2 linked regions of the Oryzias latipes genome follow. The protein of the gene in region 2 interacts with the protein of the main gene of each other region in a biochemical or structural test. Links are inferred from orthologs where the notes say so. Each region holds a gene or a part of one and is shown on either strand. Other genes may lie near its edges.

Region 1 (5,699 bases), on a different chromosome or scaffold from region 2:
TATTTTGTTTTTTTCCATCTTACTGATCCAAAAAATGATCCGAAGTGTGACTCTAAAACTGTGACATTATCCGAACCGGGCATTTTGGGATCTGTTGCACCCCTACTGTTCACCACTATGTCATTTATTTATTTTTTACCATTTTCCAATAAGAAACCAGATTCAGAAAGAAAACTGGATTTAAACATGAAAAAAAAACCAAAACAAATTCCAGCAGATAAAAGTTTATTACACTCACCCTGTTTTGACCATGTCATCGAAGCAAGTCCTGTCAAGAAAACCAAAGACAAGAGGTCAAGATGGAACCGCTTGACTTAACCACAGATGTTTTTAATCTGAAGACACCAGTCTTGATGACACAGGCTGTAGTTTAGAGCTCAGGAAGTAATGTTGTAAGAAAATCAAAGTATATGAACCCTTTGGGCTTTCCTGCAGTTTTATCTAACTTGAAAAGACAAACAAATGATTAGAACAGAAAATTACAATCTGCCCAAACTAATACCACACAGGCATTTAGTCTTTTCTGCTTTTATCAAACACAATATGTAAACATTCACAGAACAAATAGCTTGTTAAGCAAATGCTTTTAAACCTCTTTTGGGAGCCATGACCTTAACCAAATCTAACCTCATCCCATTGAGTGGACTCCAGGTTTCCCATCTCCTGGTCTGATTAGTTCTTGGAGAAGTAATTATGGGTTCACATACTTTTCTCACAGACTATTGTGAATATATATTTTTTTGTTCAATAAAAGCACCTGTCTGTGTTTAGTTTAGAGAGACTGTTCTGTTTCTATTGTTGGAGGTGAAGACAAGAACAAACCGTCTGTCTGATTCTTGCACAAACCCATAATATCCAAAAGCTTCGGGTACTTTTTCTTACATCTGTTTACTACTCACATTCGTCAAGTGATAAACACATTTAAAATGCAAAAAAAAAGTTTCTAATATATGTCAGTAGCACAAATACAGCAAAGTTTTTTTGCTGTTTACAGTCATCTCAAAGTAAAAAGCACATTTTCGATAAAAAATAAATTTATATTTTCTGGATTTATTACTTTTCAAAAGAGTTGACAAGTTTTTTAGACACTTCAACTCATTGGTGGTGTTAATTTGTGTGCTTCTAAAAGGAAATCTGTTTAAAGTATTTATAAAATAGCTTGAAATCATTGCAGCTCGTCTGTAAACTGTTATTTGCAGTTAACACACATAAACCTAAGCCAACAGAAAAGAAAAGTCGCCTCACTTGTGTAAAAGATGGCCACATGGAAGGACATGAGCACCGATCCTGGACGTGTGAATATCCTTTTGACAAAGAGAAAACAAACAAAAAAAAAACAGTTGGGCTCAAATAAAGACGAAAATCCAATATTAGTTTTACATGTACTTTAAGGTTTCATACCTCCATACAAACCGGACAGTTCTGCCTAGAGACATTTTCGACACACTGAAAGTAATCAAAAAAAACCAAAGTCAGTAAAACAAAGTGAGAACTTCTTCCATTAGAGTGAATCAGAAGGAGGTGAATAATCATAATCACTCTGTGGTTTCCTCTCAGATCCTGGGCCAGACACAAATTGCACTTGTCACAATGGAAGTACTTCTCACTGGGTCCAATCCTGCCAATACCAGAACACACATAGTTTACTCATCTGTTAGTGGGTAACTGGATAAAAAAGAAAAAATGAACTATTATTAGGGGTTTAAAGATTAATTTTAACAATTTGATTCATATCAGAATTTGTGGTTGCTGATATGATTCATAGGTGATATCGTTTCATTTTGAACGAACTGATTCACTGACCTAAAACTCCATCCAGGACATTTTTTATGGAGGGAAATTGGGAACAGCATAAACTGAATGAAAACCCATTTTGTAAATTTGAAGAGAAGGAAAACTTGAAAACTGTATTAAGACTTGAAAGTACATTTTGTATACTTCAAGGAATTATTAAAAATTTGAAAAAAAACAAACAAAGAAATTATGACTTTGACCAAAACAAAGTTGAAAGAATTATTGAAAATTTGTCAAAAAAGTAAATTTGACTTTTAAAAAACAACTTTAAACCTGAAAATTATGTTTATTTCTAACAGCAGCCTTTTTTTCTTTTCAACGTCTGTTTTTTTTTTTGGTTCTTCCCCTCTTTGCTTTTAGACCTCAGTTAAAATTTTCAATCCAGACTTTTCGCTGCTGACCCTAATTTTACATGGCGTGGGCTTTGCCTGTTCATGGCGCTGCCTGCATCGTTCCTCCTCTGATGTACCAAACTTTAGGAGAATATTATCACTACCGGTGGTGTTCCTTCGCTATATTTCGCTGTCTCGCTGTTTTATTGATTCTTTTTCACTGTGACTTGTTGGTTTTGTCAATCAGCCTCTTCTGTGGTGTCTCTTCTAGGGATGGGCGGTTATAATTTTTTCCAGCCGATACCGATAACTCACGTTTCCCCTGCAACTGTTTAGATTTCCTGTTTGTTTCTTCATTAGAAATGCACAACTTTTCTTTTACCAGACAATCCCATTGTACTTGAGCTTTTTAACATACAGCAAAAGAATTAGGATCAAGTATAGATTTTTAAAAATAAAGTGTTTCTGAAAACAGCCAGAACAACATCGATCGATAAATCCAAAGCATGCAAATATCTTCAGATACAGAGAAAGACAGAGATTTTTTTCAATAGATATTATGGGTATGTTTCATTTTTCAACAGTTTCATAGTGGTTTAAGTCGATTTGTTGCCTCAGACAGATCGATCTTGTTGGATATTAGGAATATAAATTGATTCACTGATTAAGTCGATCAGTCGCTACACCTCTAATTATTAGACAAAATCCTAACTTTCTCCTGAGACCACCAGTGTGTGAATGAATGTGTGCATGGGTGAATGGGATTGTGACTAAAGCGCTACGGCCCTGAAGAAGGTAGAAAAGCGCCATATAAGTATACGCCATTTAGTAAACCGTTGATGAGTGTTTGCCGTTAATGACACATTTACCTGCATATTCCACAGGGCTGGCAGTGGTACTGCTTCTTATCCTTGTCAAACAAATGGCAGATGTCACAGTAATATTCCCCAAACTGTAACTGACACTGCTGACATGTTTTTTGGGCCTAGAGAAGCATGCACAAACAGGACACATTTAGGGTAACGTGCATAAAAATAAAAAGTCATCAACTACAGCTGGTGGTTTATTTTATTTATGCAACTTACCTGCTGCAAGGTGTTACACTTGGAGCACTGCACCTCTCTGACTTTGAAGCGATCCATCGGGTGGTTCTCCTGAGCATCATGGCACAGACGACACACGTACAGTTTCCCACAGCACGGCGCCTGGAGTTCACAAAAACACGCAAACGTTAGGGGAACATCAACATCTGGATGGGGTTTAACTGGTAGGCATCTCAGGAAACGTTAAAGAAATGTCGGTTAACAATTATATAACGATGTGGCAATGTGCGGCTGAGGAACACAAGCAGCAGCAGAGCAGTAGTCGCAAAATCATAAACTTAATATGAAGTGTATATCCTTTAAACAAAACACATGGAACCCATTAACTTCGACGTCCTGCCAATATCTTAAAGTGGACATGAGCTCCATCTGTCAAAACTGTCATAACGCTCCGGACAAACGGTGACTGGGTCTGCCACTACAGTTGTTGTTGAGTTAGCCCCCTGGCCTGTCCGTCCTTTGTTTCATTTTACGCTAGCATACAGCTTTGCTTCCGCTGAGGCTACAACGGGTACTCACTTTTAACAAACAACCGCGTACGTAATGTTCACAACCGACAGGTGAAGCCATGCTGTCTCCAAACCCAAGCTTCTCGAAGTGTCCGTTGCCACGAAGGCGAGAAGGTTGCTCGCTTCTTCTTCTTCGTTGGACGTTTTTTTAAAAGTTTTTTTTAAATATATATACAGCGGGTGGCAAACAACAGAACGGCGCATTACCGCCACCTTCTGGTCTGGGATGTGAGTTTATTACCGTAGCGTCTGTCAATAGATAACTGTATGCTGTATATGTCCTCCTCAAGATAATTTATATTTTAAAATATATTTCCCTTGAATGTATTATTTATATTCAAGGGAAATAAAGAAGCTTTCCTACTAAATTTGATCTAGAACTAAAAAGAAAAAGTCTGTCCAACTAAAACGTCTTTGTATCGTGTGTAAAATTTATTAAAACACAACAGAAATTGGCAATGATGAATAAAAAAGAATGAAGTGGTTTAAGTATTGATGGTTCTGCAAACTAATCAAGAGTTTGTAAGACTGACGTTTTTCATTGTTTTGGCTGTTAGTGCAGCATCTTTTGTGTACTTTTAGAAGGCCTCTTAAATGTGAAAATAAGCAGACTTTTATTTCTTCAAACATATTTTTAGAACCGTATTGGTTAAGGGACATTTATTCTATTTTTTTTTCTTGTACTGAACAATTTTTTGTTGTGGAAAACTCAGACAATGTTGACTGTTCCCTATATATATTTTATGTTACCAAAATAAAAGCACTGTAAATTTGCTTGGGTAAAAGCAACTTATACGAGATACAGTTATACTAAACATTGTGATAATTAAATAAACAGAATTTTTTCAATTTTATTACAATGAAAGATGTATTAATATTTAGGTAGAGTTTTTTCTAAGTCATACTTTTTAAAAAAAGAAAATGTGTACAATGTGGTAATCTCCCTATATTATTGCTTTATTTCTGTAAAGTTAGGGCATCAGTGATGAAACCCTCAAGTGGTTGCAGAACTTGCAGAGACAACCACTGAAGTCCCAAGATGTGGTGTCAAAAGGGCTGGCAAGAAAGTATTTTCAGTAGTTCAAGAGATTTAATTAAAACAATGTTTTGATGTTTATATTGCTGTAAAAGCAGAAACAATGATGTTATCAAAAGACTGAAATGAATAAGTCAGTGTTAAGGGGAAAATGAAGGTGAAAGCAAACACGCCTTTAGATTTCTCCTTAATTGTACCTCAATTTTTTGTTTTAAATTAAATTCTAACCTGATATTTATTACAACAAGAATACTTTGCTTCTAGAAAATCCCACAAACCTCGTTTACACCCAAGTTGTTTGATATATTCTACATGGGGAAGCATATACTTAGAATATGTATGAAAAAGTCAGCAATTATTCCTGTGAGTTCACGAGTAGAAAAGTAATTTTTTGTTTCCAATATTTCCCATCAAAGACTTTTCTTCCACCTCATTTTTGCCTAGGTATATCTTTATCAGTACGTCCGGTAATCACACGTAGCGCCGCTGGTGTAGTGGTATCATGCAAGATTCCCATTCTTGCGACCCGGGTTCGATTCCCGGGCGGCGCACTGCCGTTTTGTTTATTTTGGCTTGCTTTTCGTTTAGTTGGTTTAGTTAGTTCGTTTCGCAAACTGTAGAAAAACGTAAAAAAAAAAAAGAAAAAAAAATGGTGCAATAACTCCATAACTGTGTTGCAGTACATTCTCTTAAAATTTCCAGTTTTTCTGATTTAAATTAAACGATTAGTTAAATATTTATCGGTCTACACAAAAAAGATGTGGTTTGTTGAAGTCTACCAATTCTTATGGTCATTTTTCTGGTGTGAGAGAATGTTCTTGATGTTGGCAGCATTTTAGCGCGCAGCGAGGTTGACGCTTCTGACGCCATTCCTCCGCCATCTTCAACTTCCTATTGTTTGCTTCAGACTGAGGCTCTCTGTGGT
Region 2 (5,888 bases):
GCTTCCAATCAGTCGGAGACTTTTGTGGGTTTGCTGAGCCAATTCCTTCATCCTCCCATGATCCTCCAGGTCACACCTCTCTTCCTGACGTGCTCACTCAGGGTGGGGTGACCAGAACAGACTTTCCTCCCACTCCTCCATCTGAAGCTGGGGACCGAGCCCTGGAGCGATGTGACACCCAACCGTCTGGCCTTAGAAACAGTCATGCTATCCCCTCCAGGTGTGAGGGGGCGCCCGGTTCATGCTGCAGCTCAGATCCAGCACAGGAGGACCCTACCACCATAAATCAGCTGGACCTCCCCTCTGGAGTGCACTCTGACGTCAGATAGTCGGAGAATCTCCAGTCAGCAGAACCCACAGAGGCTGCAGCAGAAGCCCTGTATCAGTGCCTGCAGGGGTGCGAAACGGCGACTCTCCACAGGAGGGCGGGGTTCAAACCTAGTTTTATCAGAAGTGTCAGTGAATGTTCTTCACTCCAGACAAAACTGCTGTGGGTCGGAACCTTGAGCTGGTTTCGCAGCTGTAAATAAAGAATAAAATCCTGAAACATGAAGCAGAATTTGCTGTTTTCAGAAGACGTATACTTGAAATTGACTTTTTAAACTCACCTTTTCTTCATATTTGATGCTGAGGAGCTGTCTGGATCTACAGTATAACGTTTGGGGGTTTGGAGCCTCCGTCACACCATTAATGTGACATTTTTCTGTTTGTTTGACAATTTTCTTATGATGCAGTAGAAATTGTATTTAGCAATGTTCTTAAAATGCAGTGAAAACTGATAAAACCCGATGTTTACGTCATTTTTTATCATCTGGTGTGCCTCCTGGCTTGTTAACTAGTTGAACAGAGCTGCAGGTGGAAACCAACAGAACCTTAAACATCATTTCAGAAACATCCTGTGTGGTTTTACAGACCTTCTCAGCTGTGTTTGGCACCAGAAACAACCCAGAAGTTAAAAGGTAGGTGAAATTAAAGTCTTTTCTTTCTGTTGTGGGCCTTTATTTTTGTTTTACTTGAGTCTCCAGCTGGGCTTCTGCCTAAATGTCTGGAGAGAAGCTTGATGAAGTTTAGTTTGACGTTCAGTCCAACAACAAACAGTTGAGGACAGAAATACTGGCTACGGTTTCCTGGAACTGCCAGTTCCTGTTTGTCTCTGCGTCACCACCGGCTGCGAGAAACACAAACATTCAAATTTCAAGCAAATTCATTTGGGACATGCTGGAGATGTTTCCAGATGGGTGTCTGGTCTCAAAGACTGTTTGATAGGAGCTTTTATGCTCTCCATGCTGGGTTCTATAAAGACGGTTGGAGATCATTGCCATTTATTTGCTTTTTTATACAAACAACATATTTTAAAGCAACGTCATTTTACATAGAGTGTTTGGTAATTAATTTGACGTGCCACACAGCATACCTACTATTCATGTTTTTCCACAAGTTTATTTTTTTAACCTATTAAAACATAACACACAGTGGCTGCAGGTGAATTTTTCTAGCAGAAATTGAAAGATATACGACCAAGATATTAGAGAAAGAGTAAAGATAAAATTATCTAGGTCTGCATCTGAACACATCAACATTTTTTGTATTTTTCAGCACAGATCTGAAGGAATTGAATGACTGATTTCCCACATATGCTCCTCCTCTACTCAGCTTTCCAGGTTTATTGAATCACATTTCAATTTCTGAAACATCCATGGTGAAAAAAAGTTGAACATGACAATCAGGATGGAAAAAATCTAGAAGACGAAAGAGGTAAAGCCATAAAAAACAACCATAGAAAAGATCTGAATTTGTAGTGTCACAGAAGAAAATTATAGCCAAATAGGTGACTCTTTTGTAATTGGATGCTCATATTTAGAAGAGAATGATGTGTAAACTGATCAGAAATGGACAGTAAAGAATGACATTTTCTACTCTGCATGTTTCAAAGTTCAAATGTTTCTACCCAACTAATCTGGAAATATGTTGCTAAAGCAAAAGAGGTGACAGTTTTCACGCTCAAGAATATTTTCAGAGTAAACTCTGGAATGTCATTCCTGACATGGAGTTTAGCTGAAAAAGTAAGAATTCATCTTCCAAGTGTATTTAGGACTTCTAGGAAAATTTACAAGTGGAACTAATATAAAAAAAGCAAGACCTGAAGAAGTAATGAGAACTTATGCAGGTGAGCATTTGTCTGGGACAAACGGATGAAAAGTCACAAAATGAAACAACACACTGAAGCACACAATCCTCATTACAATAAGGAAGGACGTAACCATTTTGACTCCGCCCCTTTATTTTAAAATTTGATGTTCTGATTATAGTGTCATCCAGTTAAAATAATGGAATTAATTTATTAATAATCAGTTTTATTTAACAGCTGCTTTTAGAAACTACATAGTTAACAATAAATCACTAAAAATATAAATTTTAAACTCTATATTTCTGTACACAAAGGTGAGAAAAGTCTTGTGTAAAAAACTGCAGGGATGAACAGGAAGTTATAAAATTGTTGACAATAATTTCTCATTCTGCTTTCTCATTCACGCTCATGGCGAACTGACCACGCCCTCACAGCAGGATGACGGCGCATTCCCACTGACTGACTCCGCCCTCACAGGATTCTGGCTCCGCCCTCACGGCATAAAGCTTCATCTGTATGTGGACAGCGGCTAGTTAGCTAACAGCATCGACCGAAACCTGAAGAGGGGCAATTATATCAGGCCGGGGTTATCCACCTGGCGTTCGCAATTAGTCAATTCCCGAGGGGACACGGATATTTCAGAACCGAACCAAAAGAAAGGAGTTCCTGAGGAACGTAGCCAGTTTTCGTGAAGTCTTGGCCGCATACGTAGTTTTAACCTGCTATCATATCAGCTAGCTTAAGCAGACAGGCCGTGGAGCTGAGCCAGCGTGAATTATCTAATCGAAGCGGTCATCCTGGAACATCACAGCCCGCCTTTGTGCTCACTTTCTGTATCAACAATACGAAAACCCCAAACACGGAGGGAGGATGGCCCTTAAAAGGATCCACAAGGTAAGAGAACGGCGGAACTGCGTGCTAACGGTGTTAGCTTTCCATGCTAGCCTCCCTAACTATTCTCCGTCAAGGCTAACGAGGAAGTGTCGCTTCGAGGTTCAGGTGTGGAGCTCTGCTCGGCTTGATGGCGGTTATAGTTTTCAGTCCAGATACTTGTGTGTCAGAAATGTGTTACAACCGGCTGACGCGCAGCTCGCCAGCCAGCCAGCTATCATTAAATCATTAGCAGTTTCGATTTTCGACCTAACCTCTCTGTTGGGGCTGACGTCTGTCAGGGCCGACCGGTCTCGGTCGTTGTTTTTGCGTTCGGTTCTCCGTGATTCACACCTGACCAAGCCGGCCAGGGCCCACGTCACGATTAGCCTCGTCGCGCGTGTGCGCGCCCGGCTGAGTTAACTCCGGCCCGGATGGGAACCGGGCAGCCCCGGAAACCGGCAGGCCGCCCGCAACTTGCCGGTGTCTGGAAGCCTCTATGAGGAAAGGCCGGGGTGGGGCCCGGCTCATCCGCTCCAAAATAGACGGTCACCTAAAAATAAACATTATATGGACGGGCTGTATGTTTGCTGTGGATATAAAAACTGGGCTGTGCGGGCCCGTCCGGGGGAGGGGGTATGGGGGTAACCTTAACCAGGGAGGACGTTGTTCCTCACATACTCGGTGTTTGGAGATGTTGACGTTCGTCAGACTCTAGTATCTTCATGACTGACTGAAGCTCCTCTCCTGACAGGAACTGAATGACCTGGCTCGTGACCCCCCAGCTCAGTGCTCTGCTGGCCCGGTGGGAGATGACAGTAAGTGATCCGAACACACTGATGTAAATCTGAAAACCACATATGTTAGTGGATGCCGTGAACAGGAAACAGCGTTCCTGGCAGGCTGTGACAGTCACAGTGACCTGTAAGCTTCTTTATAATGCTTCATTTTTGTCCTTGCAGTGTTTCACTGGCAGGCTACCATCATGGGACCTGTGAGTACATTTTGACCTTCCCGTCATGTTATGGTGGTGGGGGGGGGGGTCTCACTTTCTTCATATAACGGCAAATGTTTATGCTTGGATCTGTCAGTCCTTAACTCGGTTTAAACTTCTCCTTGCAGAGTGACAGTCCATATCAGGGAGGTGTTTTCTTCCTGACAATTCATTTTCCAACAGACTACCCCTTCAAACCCCCAAAGGTGAGCTGCTATGACGGGTGTCTTCTGTGCGTTTCCATAGTAATGAGTTAAGACAGGATGTGGTGCTGCCTTTTGATTTAGACAAAGCGTTTGATTTCGGAACAAAGTGAAACTGTAATTCTTTTTTTTTCCTGTTTACATCATCTGCCGGTCCAGCCTGTTCTGTCGCAGGATCTGCGTTGCATAACTCAGATTTTTGTTGCGTCTCTCCCTCAGGTGGCATTCACAACAAGAATTTACCACCCAAATATTAACAGTAATGGCAGTATCTGTCTGGATATTCTCAGATCACAGTGGTCTCCTGCACTTACTATTTCTAAAGGTAGGAAGCTGTAGTTTGACGTTTAATAATTAACTAATGTCTTTTAATGTTGTGGAAGAAGTTTGCCTTCCGATGTCAAACTGAGTTTCCGTAAACTTTTCTCTTGTAGTTCTTCTCTCCATTTGCTCACTCCTATGTGACCCAAACCCCGATGACCCATTAGTGCCAGAGATTGCACGGATCTACAAAACAGATGGTCAGAAGTGAGTAAAAGCCGTCCTTTTGCATGTGACAAGACCCTGATCCCACCTTTTTTGGTTGATCCATGTGCGTGGATTTCACTTTGTTAGGTACAATAAACTAGCTCAGGAGTGGACGGCAAAGTATGCCATGCTGTAGGGTAAGCCTAGTGCTGCATCTTGACTGGTATCTCTTTCTCACCTTGGCAAAGATCTAACTGTTGCACTAATCTGTGTGCACACAACCAGTGTACTCGGTCAGATTCAGTCTCCCTTTTGTACCCCAGCTTCAGATTTGATCTGATTTTCTTCAGACGTTCTGAATGTGACGAGTTTGACGGGAAATGAACTGTATGCATGACAGTGAAAAAGTGGTTCAATTTGACGTGTCCTGCTAAGTAGCTTTTGGGGTCAGGCACAAATGTGTCTGGTGTGGTTAAAGTCCCACTTTGATCATCTTTTGATCTATTTTCAAAGCATTCTCACTGGTCTTTTAAATATGACTATTGCTAATGCAGAGCAACCCCCCCCCCCCCCATTACTGAGAGCTCCCCGTTTACGTGTTCTCCCCCTAGCTTAAAGTCCCTCACAGCCCCAAGCTAACATTAGCAGTGCAACAAAAATGTTGAGCAATATTGAAGCTATCTAGTGGTACAGTTTTTAGCCAGATGCCAGCTCAGACGAGGAAACAGGTTTTTTTAATCCTGTCTTTATTCACAAGGTTTGAATAGCTTAATTTATGTAATGTCCTCCATCAGAAAACCTCCGATAGAACGTATTAAAAACACTATTTTCAGTGGAGTGGGTCTTAAAAGTTCAGCACATCCAGGTTGAAGGTCTGCTAGTAAACATGTCTACTAATCAAGGTATGAGTTTCCGCTTTTTGTATCTTGTGGCGCTGCCTGAATGCGAACCGCATTGCTTAAGGTTGTAGCTGCTGTTGTGGCTCCTCCCACTACGCCTTCTCACCCTACAAAGTTATGTAAAGAAGTTGGATTGAAAATGCAGCCCCCCCCCCTCTAAAATCTGTTTTTATCCCTCTACAGATACACCAAAATGGCAAAAGAATGGACACAAAAGTACGCAATGTGACGGCGTTCATCGGAAGCTGCTGAAACTGTTCGTTTAAGATTAAAGTTTGGGTTTTTCTTTTTCACTTTTTGTTTTTATTAATCACCACTTGACCCCC

Evidence for each region.
Region 1: the proteins of ubiquitin-conjugating enzyme E2 D2 (region 2) and rchy1 form a complex in vitro, tested with the Homo sapiens proteins (9 studies listed by BioGRID and IntAct, with this or other methods). The link is inferred for Oryzias latipes from reciprocal best matches to the Homo sapiens genes UBE2D2 and RCHY1.

Annotation. Positions count from the first base shown.
Region 1 is NC_019867.2:25,252,429-25,258,127, reverse strand, and holds the start of rchy1 (RING finger and CHY zinc finger domain-containing protein 1), read right to left. Parts: upstream 3,894-5,699; 5' UTR 3,800-3,893; coding exon 3,749-3,799; intron 3,332-3,748; coding exon 3,212-3,331; intron 3,112-3,211; coding exon 2,996-3,111; intron 1,619-2,995; coding exon 1,540-1,618; intron 1,447-1,539; coding exon 1,402-1,446; intron 1,305-1,401; coding exon 1,246-1,304; intron 269-1,245; coding exon 239-268; intron 1-238. UniProt on the Homo sapiens protein: E3 ubiquitin-protein ligase that mediates ubiquitination of target proteins, including p53/TP53, TP73, HDAC1 and CDKN1B. Mediates ubiquitination and degradation of p53/TP53; preferentially acts on tetrameric p53/TP53.
Region 2 is NC_019880.2:25,334,559-25,340,446, forward strand, and holds the start of ubiquitin-conjugating enzyme E2 D2, read left to right. Parts: upstream 1-2,608; 5' UTR 2,609-2,998; coding exon 2,999-3,022; intron 3,023-3,752; coding exon 3,753-3,816; intron 3,817-3,960; coding exon 3,961-3,992; intron 3,993-4,120; coding exon 4,121-4,198; intron 4,199-4,414; coding exon 4,415-4,520; intron 4,521-4,629; coding exon 4,630-4,723; intron 4,724-4,810; coding exon 4,811-4,859; 3' UTR 4,860-4,860; intron 4,861-5,745; coding exon of another isoform or gene 5,746-5,791; 3' UTR 5,792-5,888. Other genes in the region: RING finger protein 145-like, read left to right, coding at 1-329.